Linked DNA regions of Mytilus edulis. The protein of the gene in region 1 purifies or fractionates together with the protein of each later gene. This does not show direct contact. Links are inferred from orthologs where the notes say so. Each region holds a gene or a part of one and is shown in the gene's direction. Other genes may lie near its edges.

Region 1 (8,088 bases):
AAATGACATACATAATCATGGCTAGAATTAAATTACCATTTATCAGCATTTTAAAATAGTAACTTCTAAAAATAAATTGACAGCTAATCACCTGAAGACAATACAACATTTCTTTATACATAATTGAAAAGCGGTGTAAGGGAGGTAATTCAAAATGTTGTATTTGAATTACCTCCCTTAGACTGCTTTTAAATTATGTTTTGTACTTATTAAGTAATAGTTCTCCTATTTTGTCCATAATTTCTAAACGGTAAGATTCATAACCCCCCAAAGCCAATTCTTACATCCGTTTGTGGTATGGAAACTTGAGGTATAATTTCAGAGAGATCCATGCACCATCCCATAAGTTATTGTCTGGAAACTAGGAAAATGCTTATTTGGGCCTCTTTTTGACCCCCTAACTGTTAGGACCATAACCCCCAAAATCAATCTCAACCTTCTTTTTGTGGTTATTAACCTTGTGTCTGAAGCCAACGCATAAGTGATTGACAGAAAAGTGAATTTTTTATGTTAGACATGTTTTGAGTTCTGTTTTGTGCCTTCTGATTTGACCTTTGTCCCACTCGTAACGGTTTGTTTTGTCAATATGCAGTTTAAATTTTAGAGCATAATCAAAACGTGTTTAATTTGCAGTCGTTTCTTTAGCATTTCAGTATACGGAAACATTCATACAAATTGAGTCTGTGTGTAAACATGCCTCCATTTATGAACTTGCATAATCAAATTTTATTGACTTGTCGTCACTATTACAATTATTATTATAGAATAAATTCTTTATATTTGTAGACAAAGAGAGTTACTGAATTAAATCTAGACACAATATGTCTACAGTGTTCCGACGTAAATATATAAAAAAAAGATTTACCTTAAAAGATTGAACCGTGGTAAAATTTGGACAGTCTAAATCATGACAGAAGGTTGGTTTTTGTTGAGAAGGGACTGTCGCCGTGAATGCAAAGACCAGCAGAGATGAAAGAACACACTGGAATAACATATTGGATCTGTTGATTACTGAAATAAAACGTGTTAAACAAATAAGAATTCATACATAAGTTAACGAAGTTCTCAAGGGCCTTTTCCCCGTTTGATTTTTTTAATACATTTTGGCATTTGAGGGCTTTTATAGCTGGTTTTTTCTCATTGTTGAAGGCTTTACATTGACCTATATAGTTTTTGACTCATATGCGTTATTTGGTCTGGTGGAGATTTGTCTCATTGGCAATGCTACCACGTTTTCTTATTTTTATATTCCATTGAAGCTGTTTACAAATGAAAATTTTGATTGACATTTAAACTAATAGTCGTATATATATATATCAGTATTCGAGATATATTTTTTTCTAAAGTTCGTAAAACACAGTTACAAGTATAGATAACAATGCTTATGTTCGATAAATATAAGGTTCCAAATGTAACAATTGAAAGTCCCAAAGTAGAATATATTATAAACAATCATAAACAACTTTTTGCGGAGCACAACAAGAAACCTCAATTATAGGATTTTTCGAACAAAAAGCATGAATTAAAAGTTTTGAATCGGTTCAATTAGAGGAAAATTATATGGTTTCTGATCATGTTTGATGATCGAACGATTGCCTTTAGTTGTTATTACCCTCCAATCGTAATTCGGTGGTTTCTTATTTTTCAATATTAGTATTGGATACATGATTCGTTTTTCATTTATTGTATTTGTTCACAGGCACTTGTCTCAGAAAACAAAATTCCTATATACCATTATTTAGGATATAGAGGAAAACAATAATATGAGACAAGTGCCTGTGTGTTTGTTTCTGTGTGTTGCTATTTCGCCATGCTCCGTCTTAGATTAGAGGGATGGTTTGGGCGCCCGTTAACAGTGGCGGATCCAGAACTTTGCCTAAGGGGGGGGGGGGGGAGGGGCCCGCTGACTGACCTAAGGGGGGCCCCGCTCCAGTCATGCTTCAGTGATTCCCTATATAATCAACCAATTTTTTCCCACAAAAGGGGGGCCCGGTCCCCCCAGGCCCCCCCCTGGATCCGCCTATGGTTAACATGTTTAACCATGCATGTCGCACGTTTTACCCTTGTCCGTCATTCGTACGTCCCAAAAATGGTTTCCGTTCTCTTACTTGAGTTTGCCACAATCAAATGTTACGAATCTTATACAAAATGCTTATAATCACAAAACACAGATCAAGACTATATTATATATAGGCCTTGTGAGTCCTTGGTCTACGTTTGTATAATTAAGGTTCGAATTGAAAGTTTATTCTTTCTATCTATGAAAATTAAATAAAAATCTTACCTTGTTTTCGTTAATTTCTCCACAATGAATAGTTGGTACTCTCTGTCGGTTATATATATAGTGTTAGACCATTATGCAACAAGTTTACTACTTTACACTAAACAAAACACATTGATACCCACGTGTATCTATTCTAACAACACAAATATTTAGAGATAAACTGAGAATAACCTCGAAAACGGTCAGTTATGGTTACTGACATACAATTCGGTTTGATTTTAGAAGCCAGAGAGGATCAGAGAGACATCTTTCTGTTTTAAGTACACTGAGGAAATACTGTTAATTCAACTTGCGAAATTATAAAACATCAATAATGACTTCGCCTTTTAAAAGGATATGAAAAATGGCCACATGCATTTTTTTCAAACCATCTTTGGTGTGTGTACTTAAAATATCAGTTTGACCTTATAACCGAAAAGATCATACGGTGCAGATTAGTAGAATGACTATCAAGCATTTGTACAAAACGCATTATAAACTTCGATCTGAATCATTTCTCAAATGGAATTGAATGGCGGAATAGACAATCACATGTCGCATCGTCAGTGTGATAACTGGGGAATCGGGATCAATGCCAAAGTTACCTTTGAGAATGATTTAATAAAATTGAGAATGGAAATAAAATATAGCTATTTTATTTCGAGAGCAATATTGCGTGCCAATACTTCCGAAATCGAAATCGCACATTTGAAAAAAAAAAACTCAGAACCTGTAGTAATATTTTTAATTAGATGTCGTTTTTTTTTATAAATCTGATTATGCTTTATTTCAATGATATTCTTAAGCAACTTATATTTATTATATATATATAAAGTACATTATCGATTTTTTTTTAGTTTGTTTACAGTCCGCTCTCATAAATCTTTTAAGATTGGCACTTTTATATAATAGTTCGTTCTTATGTTGTACTGTTACACCACTATCCCAGGTTAGGGTAGTGTTAAGATCCCGCTAACTTGTTTAACCCCGCCACATTCTGTCTGTACTATATGTGCCTGTCCTAAGTCAGGAGCCTGTAATTAAGGGATTGTCGTTTGTATGAGTGGCCGTTTATGTCAAAATAGCGATGGTTCCATCTATAGTTGTTTTTTCTATCTAGATACATGTTGAAAGAATCTAGATACTTTAAACAAGTATCTAGATGCTTCTTATAAGTATCTAGATGGTTGTAAGATACATCTAGATAAGTTTAGCGAAATATCTAGATACCTTTTTCAATTCAGATATTTTCAACAACCATCTATAGATACTTGTGCGATGCATCTTAACACTTGTTCCAAACATCTAGATACTTGTGCGAGCATCTATATACTTGTAGGAAGCATCTAGATACTTATATGCGAACCATCTAGATACTAATTAAAAGTAACTATAGATGCTTTCAAGACGTATCTATAGATGCTACGCACAAGTATCTAGATGCATCGCACAAGTATCTAATTCCATTGGTTAAAAATACGACAGAATACTCAAGATTTCAAGTCGGACTTTTCGACCATCTAATTACTTCAACAAAGCATCTAGATACTAACACGAATTATCTAGATACTTGTGCGTAGCATCTAGATGGTTATGCGAAGTATCTAGATGGAAAATGCATCTACATGGAACCATCTAGATGCATTTATTTATTTTGCAAGAATATTGTGTATGTGCGTAAAAAATACGACCAAAAACAATTCAAAGAAGAAATATTTTGTTAATCTATGTCAATTTGACAAAAAATTATCCATATCAATTTATTTAGAAACATTTACCCTGCATACGCCGGAAAGTAAACATCAGTACGTTGATGGTTTTCTGTAACAAAAGAAGAAAGAAGATCGCTATTTTGACATGAACCGCGACCGCTCTTACGTTTGTTGATGTGTCACTTACATATTTGTTTTTCGTTCATTTTTTTGTACATAAATTATTCCGTTAGCTTTCTTGTTTGAATTGTTTTACATTTGTCATTTCGGGCCTTTATAGCTGATGATGGCATCATGCGGTAATAATATGTGCAGTTTGTTTATTGTTAATTTCTGTGTCATTTGGTGTTCTCTATTGGAGAGTTGTCTCATTGGCAATCATACCACATCTTCCGAGCCAATTGTATAAAAAATTGATTAACGTGTGGTTGTCGGTGATCTCAGAAGATGATTAAATGAATTTAAGGGTCATAACTTGTGACCTTTATATCAGCCAGAGACATATAAGATTCATATAATACATGTATTATATGTCTCTGTATCAGCTAATAGGACCTGCCATATCAGTCTGTATAGCCATGATGACATGATGAGTGCACCCCTACATATATATTTTTTTATTTTGCAAGAATATTGTGTATGTATGTGCGTGAGTTTCCATTTTGTTTGTGGTTTGTTAATATTTATGTATGTGTGTATTTCCATGTGAAAAAAAACCTCAAAAAGCCATTTTCCGGATAAATAACCAGATACGTGCCCGATATTTTTTATTTGAGGTTTCACTTCCGGGTTAGCCATGTGTATGCTGCAATCACAAAAATCTTGAAACTCACAATTTTAATCATTTAGCTTATTTTCTGTAATATTTCAACGCATTGTATCAACAATCTCTTTCCCAATATTGCATCATTTGACTTGATTAGTATAATATCAATTTTTAATACACCAATCTTTGGATTTCGGTATAATGGAAACCGACAGTTCACAGGCTGTTGGAGATGGACCAGAACAGGGTATACCAAAAGTGAAGTCTGAAAAAGAACTTTTGAAAGAAAAACAAAAACAAGAAAAACTTGAAAAATTTAAGGCAAAACAAGAAAAACTCAAACAGAAGCAAGATCAACCCAAGAAGGAAGGGGACACCCAGGTAGAATATTGCCATTATTGTTATATTGTGAGACTGTTTTATATTGTTGATATCTACTTTTAGCTTTTATATATCTTGCAATAGGTAAACTCGCCACATTCACTTGATCGCCCTCCAGTTGTATTCTATTAATGTTTTCACCTGGTTCCTCTCATGAGTTGCATGGAAATATAACGGTCCAACAATTTACAGAAAAGAGCGAGGCCTAAATTAAAATATTATTTGTTTGCCCTTTTCCGACCCTATTTTTTGAAACAGGGTAGGTAGGTAGGTAAAATATTTTATTTTTATTTCCCAAAAAATAATTTGACTCTGTACATTTTTTGTCATGGGTAGGTGGGTAGGTATAATATTTTATTTTATAGATACAAAATCTGCAGGATATCATTGTTGTCTGTATTGCATTTGTTTAAGTATGCTTTTACTATGAAGTTTCTGGGATTATTTAATTTAGTATAATAGTCCTAGGAGGTTTTGAAAAAAATATAGAAAGTGAAGTTAATGCATATATGCACTGCTACCTTTTTTCTTCAAATATAAAAATAAAGGACTATGTGGCATATTTTCAATGTTTATATGCCTGGAACTTTTGAGTTTTAACTTACACTAAAAGTCTTTACTACTTACCCTTACCTCGACCTTAGATTTTCCACATATTTCAATTTGACGGTATATGGTGACCAATCCCAAATCATGTCTCTAGGAGATGAAACATGAGAGATCATATCTGGTAACCAGTATGACAAAAATATTAATTATCTATCTCTCCCTAGCATGGTTTGTGAATCAGCTGTATTTACAATGTGCAACCTATAGCATGTTTTATTCACATGCTAATAATTTTATCAACATTTGAACTTAAACAGGGACTTTCTATACTATGGAAAGTCCCTGACTTAGAATACCAGAGCCATATCTGTGAAATAAAAAGAAAATTTGATTAGAATATAAAGCCACTGCCCGGTAGTCCATTTCCCGCCATCATCGTTTTGCAACCAGTTAGAAGAGCTAAAACTAAGCATTTGTCTTATTTTACTTTCAACCCTCGAGTGTTTAAATTTTCCTGTGGGCCGGTGTTTCCTATAAAAATGCTTCAAGACTTGAAACTCACTTGTCACGTATTTTACATTGCCTTTATAAATGGTCTATAAGGAAAAACTTGGCGATTTTACTGCCAATTATTCTTCCCTTTACAGGCCTTTTGGTTCATGTCAGATATAAATAATATGCCAAAGCTGGTCGAAGGCATCATTCACGTGGCATCATTATCATCCTGATCTCCTGATCAGCAAAGTCCTCCCTACATAAGATACAACGTCCGTTTACAAAATATTTTGTACACACGTTGATAATTTTGTTTTGGACAAACTTATTCTTAATGAACCCTGCTCTTCAAGTATAAAGACACACAGGGCAATGTTCGTCATGATTTTAAAACTTTCGACATCGATTTCAAACCAATGCTTTAAATCTCTAAATGCACGTGTTCGTGTCAAACGCTCTAGTGATACCAAACGGACAAAACACTGTACGAGGAAGATAAAACCCGAGGATTCCGTTAAAAAAGTTTTGAGCGGTAAATACAAATATAAGATTTTCGGTAGGAACGAAGAAAAAAAATAAAATAAAATATTGCCGGGAAATACAAATAAAAGATTTTCAGTCGGAACGAATTCATAGGGTTGGTCGGTAAAGGGCAAACAAACAATATTTTAATTTAGGCCTGACGAATACAGAAAAGAACCTAAAAGAGCATTATATAGAATTAAGGCAATGTACATATACACTATTTATTTATACTGTTAACAATTCCTCTTAATAAATAAATGCATAATTCAAATTTACATTTATTTTAGATCGTACATTTATAGAGAAATGTGGACTTCCAAAAAAGAGACAATATAATTTGTTTTTTTAGTAATATTTTTTTTTAATATAAGTATGCTACATGATTCTAAATTATCATTTATTTTTCATCAAGGATTTTAATCTAATCAATTAAATATTTGTTTATAATAGATATAAAGAAGATGTCAACATATTGCCTGGTGGCACTGGGTGAAATACAAAAAATATACATTTCAGAATCACCATTTCCTCTCGGATGTTAAATGTCTAAAACATTTGTTAAGGTGCCACTGTGACATGTGATTAAATCATGATGACCGTCACTTTAAGAAAAATAAAGAATTACAAAAAATGGTGAGAGCACGTTATTGTAAATTTCTTTTCATTTATAGACTTAAATGATTTGCATTTTGCTAATCTCCTTTGATAACAAAAAAAAATGATTTTCTTTTTCGGTCCTTTTTGGTTCTTTTCTGTAAATCGTCGCTCTTTTCTGTAAGTCGTCGGACCCGTAAAAGAGAGTCTGCTTATGGGTGCTATAAACAGTTTCGTATAAAAAACTAGGGGTTATTCCCCAAATAAAAATAACCATGGAGGGAAACCCCTGTTTATTTACTCAATTGGTGAAAAAGTATCATGTTTTTTGTATTTGATTGTAAAAATTAGTTAATTAGCTTTCAATTAAAACAGGTTGAATGATTGAAATAATTTTAAAAATTATATCAACTTTACATGTTTTGAGGGTGGACAACACTGTAAACATCCTGTTTTTTTGGCAGTGAAAATTGAAAACTTATTTGCAGCCACTAGCTCTTTTCGAAGAAGGAGACCGTACCCTGAAACAAGATTTTTTTGAAAGGCCAGGTAAAAACCTACTAATTTCATACAGTTTTGATTATGTAAAATGTGCATGGATCATGTCTTCATGGATGTGCACATGACCTGGTTTCAAATTTTTTATGTTAAAATTATACCTTTTTTCCCCCATGTTCATTGGATGGAATTTTTTTAATATATTAAAAGTACACATTATTTTTATTTCATTAGAAACTAGAGAACATTTTGATTCCAGTGATATCTAGTTTTATACAAGTATCTTTATTGATCAGTCCACCACT
Region 2 (8,355 bases), on another chromosome or scaffold:
AAAAACTTTTTGTTTAAATAATTTTACTAGTTCACATTTTTGAAAGATTTAGTTTTCATATGATTTGATCTTTTAATCGTTCAATCCCGATTGAGTAGAATTATGATATCAAAATCAATATCATCAAGTGAAAATAATCAAGAAGAAATAAGAAGAGAAACACTCAAGCCAATTCTCGATTTTATAAATCGACTTTCCCTACGGAAACGATATAAATTCCGGAAATAAAAAAAAAGCGTACGGTAAAAATGTTGATTTTTTAACCCCCTCCCCCCAAGTGTACGTTTTGTACACTTTGGAAAATGGTTGACAATTATGGATGACCCCTTACCTAGACTCCAACTTCATGGTTCATTGGACAATGTTGAGATTTTGTTGTTTGATCTGTTCTCAGGTACTTTTAATGATTAGACCATTACATGTACATCTGGTGTCTAAATGATTGCAAGCTGTACAGGTCTGGCTGGCATAAATTATTTGACCATGACCTAATTTTATGATTCATTGGTCAATGTTAATATTAAGTGGTTTGATCTTTTTCTCAGATGTTGTAAAATTGCCAAATAAACAGCTGTATATCCAGTTAAAGGCCAAAATGAAACAATGCAAACAATTATAGCCTATAGGTCACTATACAGACTTAAAAAATAACCCAAATCCATGCCTTATAGTAAGCTATAACAAAACCAGGATAAAAAAAAATTACGAAACAATGCAACAGAGAAGACCTAAATCATGATTTGTTTAACAATGAATGAAAAGATTTACTTGTATGAAAAAGGATAAGTCTCAGCACAATTTAGGAGTGTCTAGATGGGGTTTACAGAATATATAGAGAAATCAATAACAGGCCAATACCACCAAAAAAAAATGGACTAAAAAAATAAGATCAGAAGTATGAAGAAATGAAAAACAAATTTAAAAATACAGAAAATAATGGAAAACATGCAGTAATTCAAATTTGTTAAAAGTTCTTTAACCATGTAAATACACATGAAATATGTCCAGTCAGAACCTTTGTCAGTGGTCATACTTGATTAAACCACCAGTTTTATACAATTATGAATTTGTGATGCTGACTGACAGATTGTTGTCTCTGTTTACAGCTTGTCCATACTAAGAAAGATTCAAAACATGACAAGATAGACATTTGGGTATATAGCTGTCTCAATGATGTCTACACCACATCTATTTTATTTGGAAAATTGTATGAATTTCAGGGTTCTCAATATAAGACAAGTCCATGAATCCCTCCTGGTCTTATCTGAAGATTGTCAAATGGTGTATCCACTAAGAAGATGAATTGTATACCAATACAGTTTTATCTTTTCACTCTTACTTGCCATATATATTTGAAACTGTAATTGCCCTCAAAACTATTCAGTGAGAACCTGACTCTGAGATGTGTATTACGGAGGAGAATATTTTTTTAAATAAAACTTAATATCCTGGGGGTAAAAATAGCATATTGGCAAGACACATTGAGGCAACCAGTACCACATGTTGAGCAGGATATGCATCCCTAAGGAACTGAGATCATCCCCTTTATTTTGGTGGGGTTGGTGCATGTGCAGTGGCGGATCCAGAACTTTTCCTAAGGGGGGGCCCACTCCAGTCATGCTTCAATGATTCCCTATATAATCAACCAAATTTTTCCTACCAAAGGGGGACCCGGGCCCCCCTGGATTCGCCTATGATGTGTTGCTTAGTTGTTAGTTTTCTATGTTGTGTTACCGTATGTGTACTGTCAACTTGTTTTTTTTTTTAATTTGGTTATTTTTTTTTTTTTGCCATGGTGTTGTCAAGTTTATTTTTGACTAACGAGTTTGAATGCCCAATTGGTATATTTCACCTCTCTTTTTGAGATGGGCATATAAACATGTGTGAAACTTAATTCAGAATTTATTGTGAGGTACAAAAAGTTATTTATCAATTAATGCAAATAATGCAATAGACAACTTTGGAGTTCAATGCATTTCCTTCAAAAACTCTGGTTTTAGTGAACGTCATTTGTGCGTTTAGGGGCGTCGTCACTTCCTTTCCAATGTTGAGCGAGTGATTGGAAAACTAGAATTCTATGTTGTAAGAATTATACTGCAAATTGAATTCTAAAAAATTGACAATCAGCACTGCTGTTATTAGGGAATTGTCATTAAGTACCTACAGACAATGACAGACCATTATTTCTAGTTTATCCTGCACAATGACGATCACTAAGACACTTGATGAACGTAAATAGTGCAGGGATACAGGCGATCCCCTCTATCTGGTAAATGACGTCATAAAGGCTGCATAATTGACGATTTTTTTCCGGTGATGGATGAACTGGAAAGTGGTCTATTGGATAAGTTTTGTAATAAAAAGAACTACTATTTTGATATCTGTCAGATACATATCTTTATGCAGCATTCCTAAAATCTCAACAATTAACTTCCCAGTTTTGTCCATCTTTTACAAATTGCAAAAATAAATGCACACAATAATTTCTGAACTTACAGTATTTAAGCTGCTGACAATTATCAATAGAAATGAGATGTTAACTTTTGGTCAGGTTTTTGTCTCTTTTGTCATATTTCCCATTTCCTGTAATTCCATCCTCTATTTTAACACATGTACTTATAGTATTACCATTCCATTTATGATTTATAATTATTGTAATTATCAAATCATTTAGTAAGATACAGAAACTTTCTAAAAATCCAAAAAATTAGATGCTTTCATCATGTTCAATATCAATTAGGAAGTGTACAAAAGTCCGGAATATGAAACATTACCAGCTATACAAGATTTGTGGTGGATATACATGTACATAACATTGTTACAGTGGATAAAACTTCACCCCTATTTTTTTATGGAGGTGAACTAGTTTGACATCATGTCCGGGCCATTTAGTATTTTACTTGGAAAAGTAAGACTGATAAAGCCACAAATAAATAACTGTTTATTGTATGTACATACATTCTAATTTGGTAATTTGTAAAATATTATACTACATGTATTTTGAAAAAGTACATATATAGTTATTGATTTGAACAATTGCACCAATAAACACCTGAGTATTCAAGAAAAAAATTGTATTAATGAACAGCCTTATAATCAAGTTATTCTTATTGCTGGTCTTTTAATTTCACACCCATGCTTTTTAATAATTCCAGAGCTTCTTTGTGAGCCTTTTCATCATCAGGTTTATTTAAAGGTTGATCTTTCGCTCTAGTTAAATATTTCAGCGCCATATTATGGTTCTTCAATCTGAGGTAAGTTTTCCCTAACATCAATAAGTTCATACTGTAAAAATTAGGATCTGCTTCTTCAGCTTTTTCAAAATAAGCCAGCGCCTCTTCATAAGTTGAAGTTGGTGGTGAAGCAAACAGTGCTGAAGCTATTTGTCTCATGTACCAAGGCATGTCTGCAAATAGAAAACACCAATACCCAAGTGAGTACAATGATGTTGCATCTTTTGGGTTTAATTCATTGGCTCTCTTTAAATGTTCCTTCACATGAAAGGCATTTGAAATTCTTTTTTTCGTGCCTTCATATTCTGCTGTGTAATCAAGTAGTATGGCATACCATTTGTGAGAGGCAAAATTATTGTCATTTAATTCTAGAGCTTTCTTGACATATTCAAAGGCTTCAAAAAAGCAGGCTTTCTTTTCATTGGTATTTTGAACTAGTTTTCCTTTGTCGCTCGCAGCCCTTGCCAGTCTCCACAAAATTTCATCATTCTGACAATCCTTGTACTGAATTAGGAAATCATACAGTTTAAGTATCTCATTAGCTGTATATATTTTATCAGCTTCTATAACAACTAATTCTTCTTTGGTCAATTCTTTGACCTCTTCTTTCTTTCCAAACCCAAAACTTAGAGCATGGACTGTTGCAAAAGGTTGAAATGCCAGTACAGGAAACAATGGATATTGGATTTTCTTGAACTGTTTATATGATTCCTTTCTCTGGGACCTCAAGAATCTGTATGCCACGCCACATGACTGTCTAAATTTTGTAAAAAATTTCAATGAACTTTGCATCATGAAGGTGGCACGGTAGTATTTGCTTCCAACGTTTTAGGTTGCTCCTTTGTGTACCCTACTTAGGTGAATACTTATGACACTGTGATTGGACATTAAAATGGATTATCAACCAGAAACATTTTTTTCAAGTATTTTAACCAATTATGAGTCTGAAAAATAGCAATTTTCAAATGTAACTATTGAAATAAATCTTTTAGAATTTTTTTAGAATATTGCATTTACTGCGGCCAAATATGATGTAAATGACTGGTTCCCTTAGACTGGTGACAATAGCTAAAAAAGTAAACGGTCATGATGGTGTTTCTCATTTATTTTTGAATATCTGAATGAAAGTACTTCAAGTTACAGTAGGTTTTAGGTCTTGGGGAGTGTTAGAAAGTCATGAAAATCTGAAAAATGTTAACATTGTCGCCTATGGCAGGGAAATACTACCGTGCCACCTGAATATGTTGTCAGTGTAATCAGTGAGTAATCTCTGAAACAAGTTCGGTTCATTTATTTTCCGGAAAACAAGAATCAGTAATCAATAAATAGTAGGAAATATGGTTGACTAGAAAATATGGTTTTGTTCGTTTTATTTACAAAGATTTATCCTCTAATGTGTCATGACAGATTTGATTTCTACCAGAGTGTACAGTGCATTATGTTCCCGGATTTTATTCTCAATCTGCCCGTACTTTTATGTAAATTATATCTTGAGTCCTAAAATCTTTCTTTTATTCCCTATACATCGTGGAACAAAGCCGGCTTCAGAAAAAAATATATCAAAAAGTACGAAATCTCACGTAGAAAGTTATATTAAAATCAAACACAGATAAATCATCAACTACTGTATACAATCAACTTTGTCAAAAGATATTTCGGTGTGGTTTTTAAGATTGTCAACCACTTTAATGAAAAAGGGGGGATAATTAATGAGATACATGCCTCTAGTGGACTAACCTGCCTCAGCCTCAGGCAGATTTGTCAATCCCACCTCCAAGCTGTTGACATCTTATGATGTCCACTCAGATTTTGAAACAAATTTTAATTTGATAAAAGATTCTGAAAAACTGGTAATGTTCAACAACAAGTTCATTCATTTTTTAAAGATTTTTTTATGAGAATGTCTGCTTTGTTAACCAATTGCGCTAAAAAAAGACCTGCTGTTTTGTAGAGGTGGGGGAAGACCTTTTTGGAGATGTCAGGATCGGGTGTTCAGGATAGACCCTTTCGAGATCCTGGAATTCTTGTTTCCAATTTTGGAATGCTGGGATTTAAATTTCTTTAAATTTTGGACCTCAGGATTTCATGTTTGAAGCCAGAGATTTCGGGACCAACAGAGGCGGATTTAGGGGGGGCCAAGGGTGGAAAAATTTGGCTGCTTATATAGGGAAGCACTGGAGCGGGCCCCCTCTTAGGCAGTCAGTGGGCCCCCACTTATGAAATTTCTGGATCTGCCACTTATCAGGTCCCCTCTGACAGCCCCATCCCCCTCCATAGCGAAAACAATTACTTTTAATGAATATTGTTAGCAAATGAATACTAGAACACCTATCTTTTTTTGCACATATAAATAAGATGTAGTATTCCATTCCAATTCCAATGTACATGTATAAAAAGTAAAAAAATTACAATTCAAAGTATCAGGCCTTCACCACAGAGCCTTGGCTCACACGGAACAGCAATCTTTAAAGAGCCCTACAATAACTACATGTAAAACAATTTAAAAACTTAAAATTAAAGGTCTAATCTATGTAAAAAAAACAAGAAACAATTGTGAACCACACCAACAAACAACAACAGTCATTAACATTTATCAAGTTAGGCCACAATTAAAAATATTTCAGTTTGCCCAAACCCGACCCATGATGACTGGGTGTGGGTAGGTAGGTAGGCAAATTTTTTTTTCTTTTTTTTTTCCAAATTTGCATGAAAATATTAAAAGATCTTAAAACAGTATATCTTTTTTTTTCTCTGTCAAACCTTTGTAGAGACAACCAAAAGCCATGAATTTAAAACCTCTATAAATAAATTAGTCTACTATATGATTTGTATCCTGAGATGTTTATAACCCTGACAATTGCTAACTGTGTGAAAGGGCTGTTGGATTTGTGAAGTGATTTTCAACAGTTCCATCAACATGATCAACACGATGTTTGTGTAAAAAAAATATCAGCTGATTATGTAATGATTAAATTTGTTTGCAGTTTTTAAATCCTATTCTATTAAAATAGATTAAATGTCCTAAAATATTTATATGAATTTTTATCTACCATCCTTAGTTTGTGTCTTTTTTATGTTTTGAAAACAAATTTATATTTTACATTATCACACAGGTAAACTAATTTGGCTATAAATAGATCAAAGCATGTTCTGTAGAATCTCCAAACTAAAAACGTATTTGTTATAATTTTATTTCTTTAAATAATCAAGTTTAAATTTTTGAAAATAATCATTATTGATTAAATGAAATTGCATAAAGTTAACGTTTTCTGAAGACTTTATTTTTAGGTCTGACATGGTTCTAGGGGCTTCCTCACAAATTGTATAAAAATCCAATATGGCGTCCATAACATGTTTTTACTTTTGCACATGTGAAAAAATATTTCTGACAAAAGTCAGATTTCTCTTGTCAAAAGGGATTTATATTTATATTGCAATAAATTATTCAGAAGGAGTGACATTCAGTTAAGATTATATTTCTGATTCTGTGAGCAATTATAGTTTTATCTAATTCTCCCAAACAGCAACGTACTGACTGTCTAATGAGACTTGTAAATTTGAACTATTCGAATAAAAGGGCATCTAATTTACATGATAAAGGAAGATTATAATTAAAGACAACAATTTATCAAGAAATAATTCCTTTTTATTCAGTAAAAACAAAATCTTCTTGCAAGATTATAAATTCGCAACTTCCAGATCCATTTCCTGTCAGAATAACATTAAAAATATTCGATTGCACATGGTTTTGAACAAATCTACCCAAATATTCTTATCAGATATTCAATAACACGATGAAATTAATGTTGAGCATATAGGTAAGGGTTTGGTAGTACAAACAACTACAGCATAAAAAAACTGTGCCACTTCACTTGTTATACTTCTTTACGTTCGTTAAATCAGAAGATAAAAACAGAGAACATCGAATATCGATTAACTGCGTCTCTTATACGCTTTCTTTTAATCTTATTCACAATTACTTTCAAACGCAAAGACGACAAACATTAAGTTTTGTACGATGACGGAGCTGACCCAAAATAAATCCGGAAAAAAAAAATTCTTCCAAAAAAACGTCAAAAAAAGAATTTGAGTCGGCGGGTTTATTTTGGGTCGGTCGCGTTTGGGCAAACATACAATCTTTTTATTTTGGCCTTACAATGTATCAAGCCCTTTAAGTTAAAAAAAGGAAATGTGATATGATTGCCAATTAGACAACTCTCCACAAGAGACCAAATTACACCGATATTAAACATCTATATGTCACTGTACTGCCTTCAACAATGAGCAAAACCCATACCATATAGTCAACTTTAAAAGGCCCAGAAATGACATGTTAAACAATTCAAATGAGTATTGTCAAATTTGTTATACATTGAATTTGTAAAATAAGATTATATGTTTATAATCTAGTGGTTCTTTTTTTCAGGATGGCACAACCACTATTGTTAGATTCTACATGGAGAGACCAACAGAAATTTGAAAATGCAGAAGCTGTTTATCAATGTACAATTGCTGGTACATCTGTAAGTCTGCATAAAACTATGTACACTAATTTAGATCTTTGGGCAGGAGTAACAAATTTGTTTAGGCCAAAAAAATTAATATGTGTTTCCGTAAACGTCCTGAAAAAAATTAAAGTAGGCAATATCAATCTTTTAACAAACAATTTTTAGCTGGTTGCTATTAGGGAAGTATTGTGACTTTAAAGATGCTTAGTCCAAATTGGCATAAAAAGAGTTGGGTAGGCACTAAAAATTAAGGTAGTCAGGTAGTTAGGGTTAGCGGAAACATGTATTATTATTTTTGGCCTTAGATCTTTGGGCAGGATTAACACAATGTATGATGTGTATTAACCTTACTATTTCAGCTTTTACTAGCTATAGGATTCTGATACCAGTATTCATTTGTATTTGTACATGTTGAATTTTTCAAGATATCCATAGAAATGATATAAACTGTAAACGGATACATGTTCATGTGCTTGCTCTTAAGGCCTACATCGATTTGTCCTACTCAGGGTTAGTAGAGTTTTCTCAACTGGCAATGGAAGAGTTTTGGTTGCCCACATGCACATTTATTAGCACTGATCTTTTAACTCAAGTCAACCCGAGTTGGACGATTC

Evidence for each region. The genes of interacting proteins can lie anywhere in the genome.
Region 2: the proteins of valine--tRNA ligase-like (region 1) and elongation factor 1-delta-like purify together in Homo sapiens (affinity purification with mass spectrometry; 5 studies listed by BioGRID and IntAct, counting the BioPlex papers as one, with this or other methods). This does not show direct contact. The link is inferred for Mytilus edulis from reciprocal best matches to the Homo sapiens genes VARS1 and EEF1D.

The regions. Positions count from the first base shown.
Region 1 is NC_092345.1:78,969,375-78,977,462, reverse strand, and holds the start of valine--tRNA ligase-like, read left to right. Parts: upstream 1-4,734; 5' UTR 4,735-4,942; coding exon 4,943-5,122; intron 5,123-8,088. Other genes in the region: heme-binding protein 2-like, read right to left, coding at 866-994. UniProt on the Homo sapiens protein: Catalyzes the attachment of valine to tRNA(Val).
Region 2 is NC_092355.1:30,360,910-30,369,264, reverse strand, and holds the start of elongation factor 1-delta-like, read left to right. Parts: upstream 1-4,737; 5' UTR 4,738-4,799; intron 4,800-7,659; 5' UTR 7,660-7,660; coding exon 7,661-7,756; intron 7,757-8,355. Other genes in the region: regulator of microtubule dynamics protein 1-like, read right to left, coding at 3,108-4,028.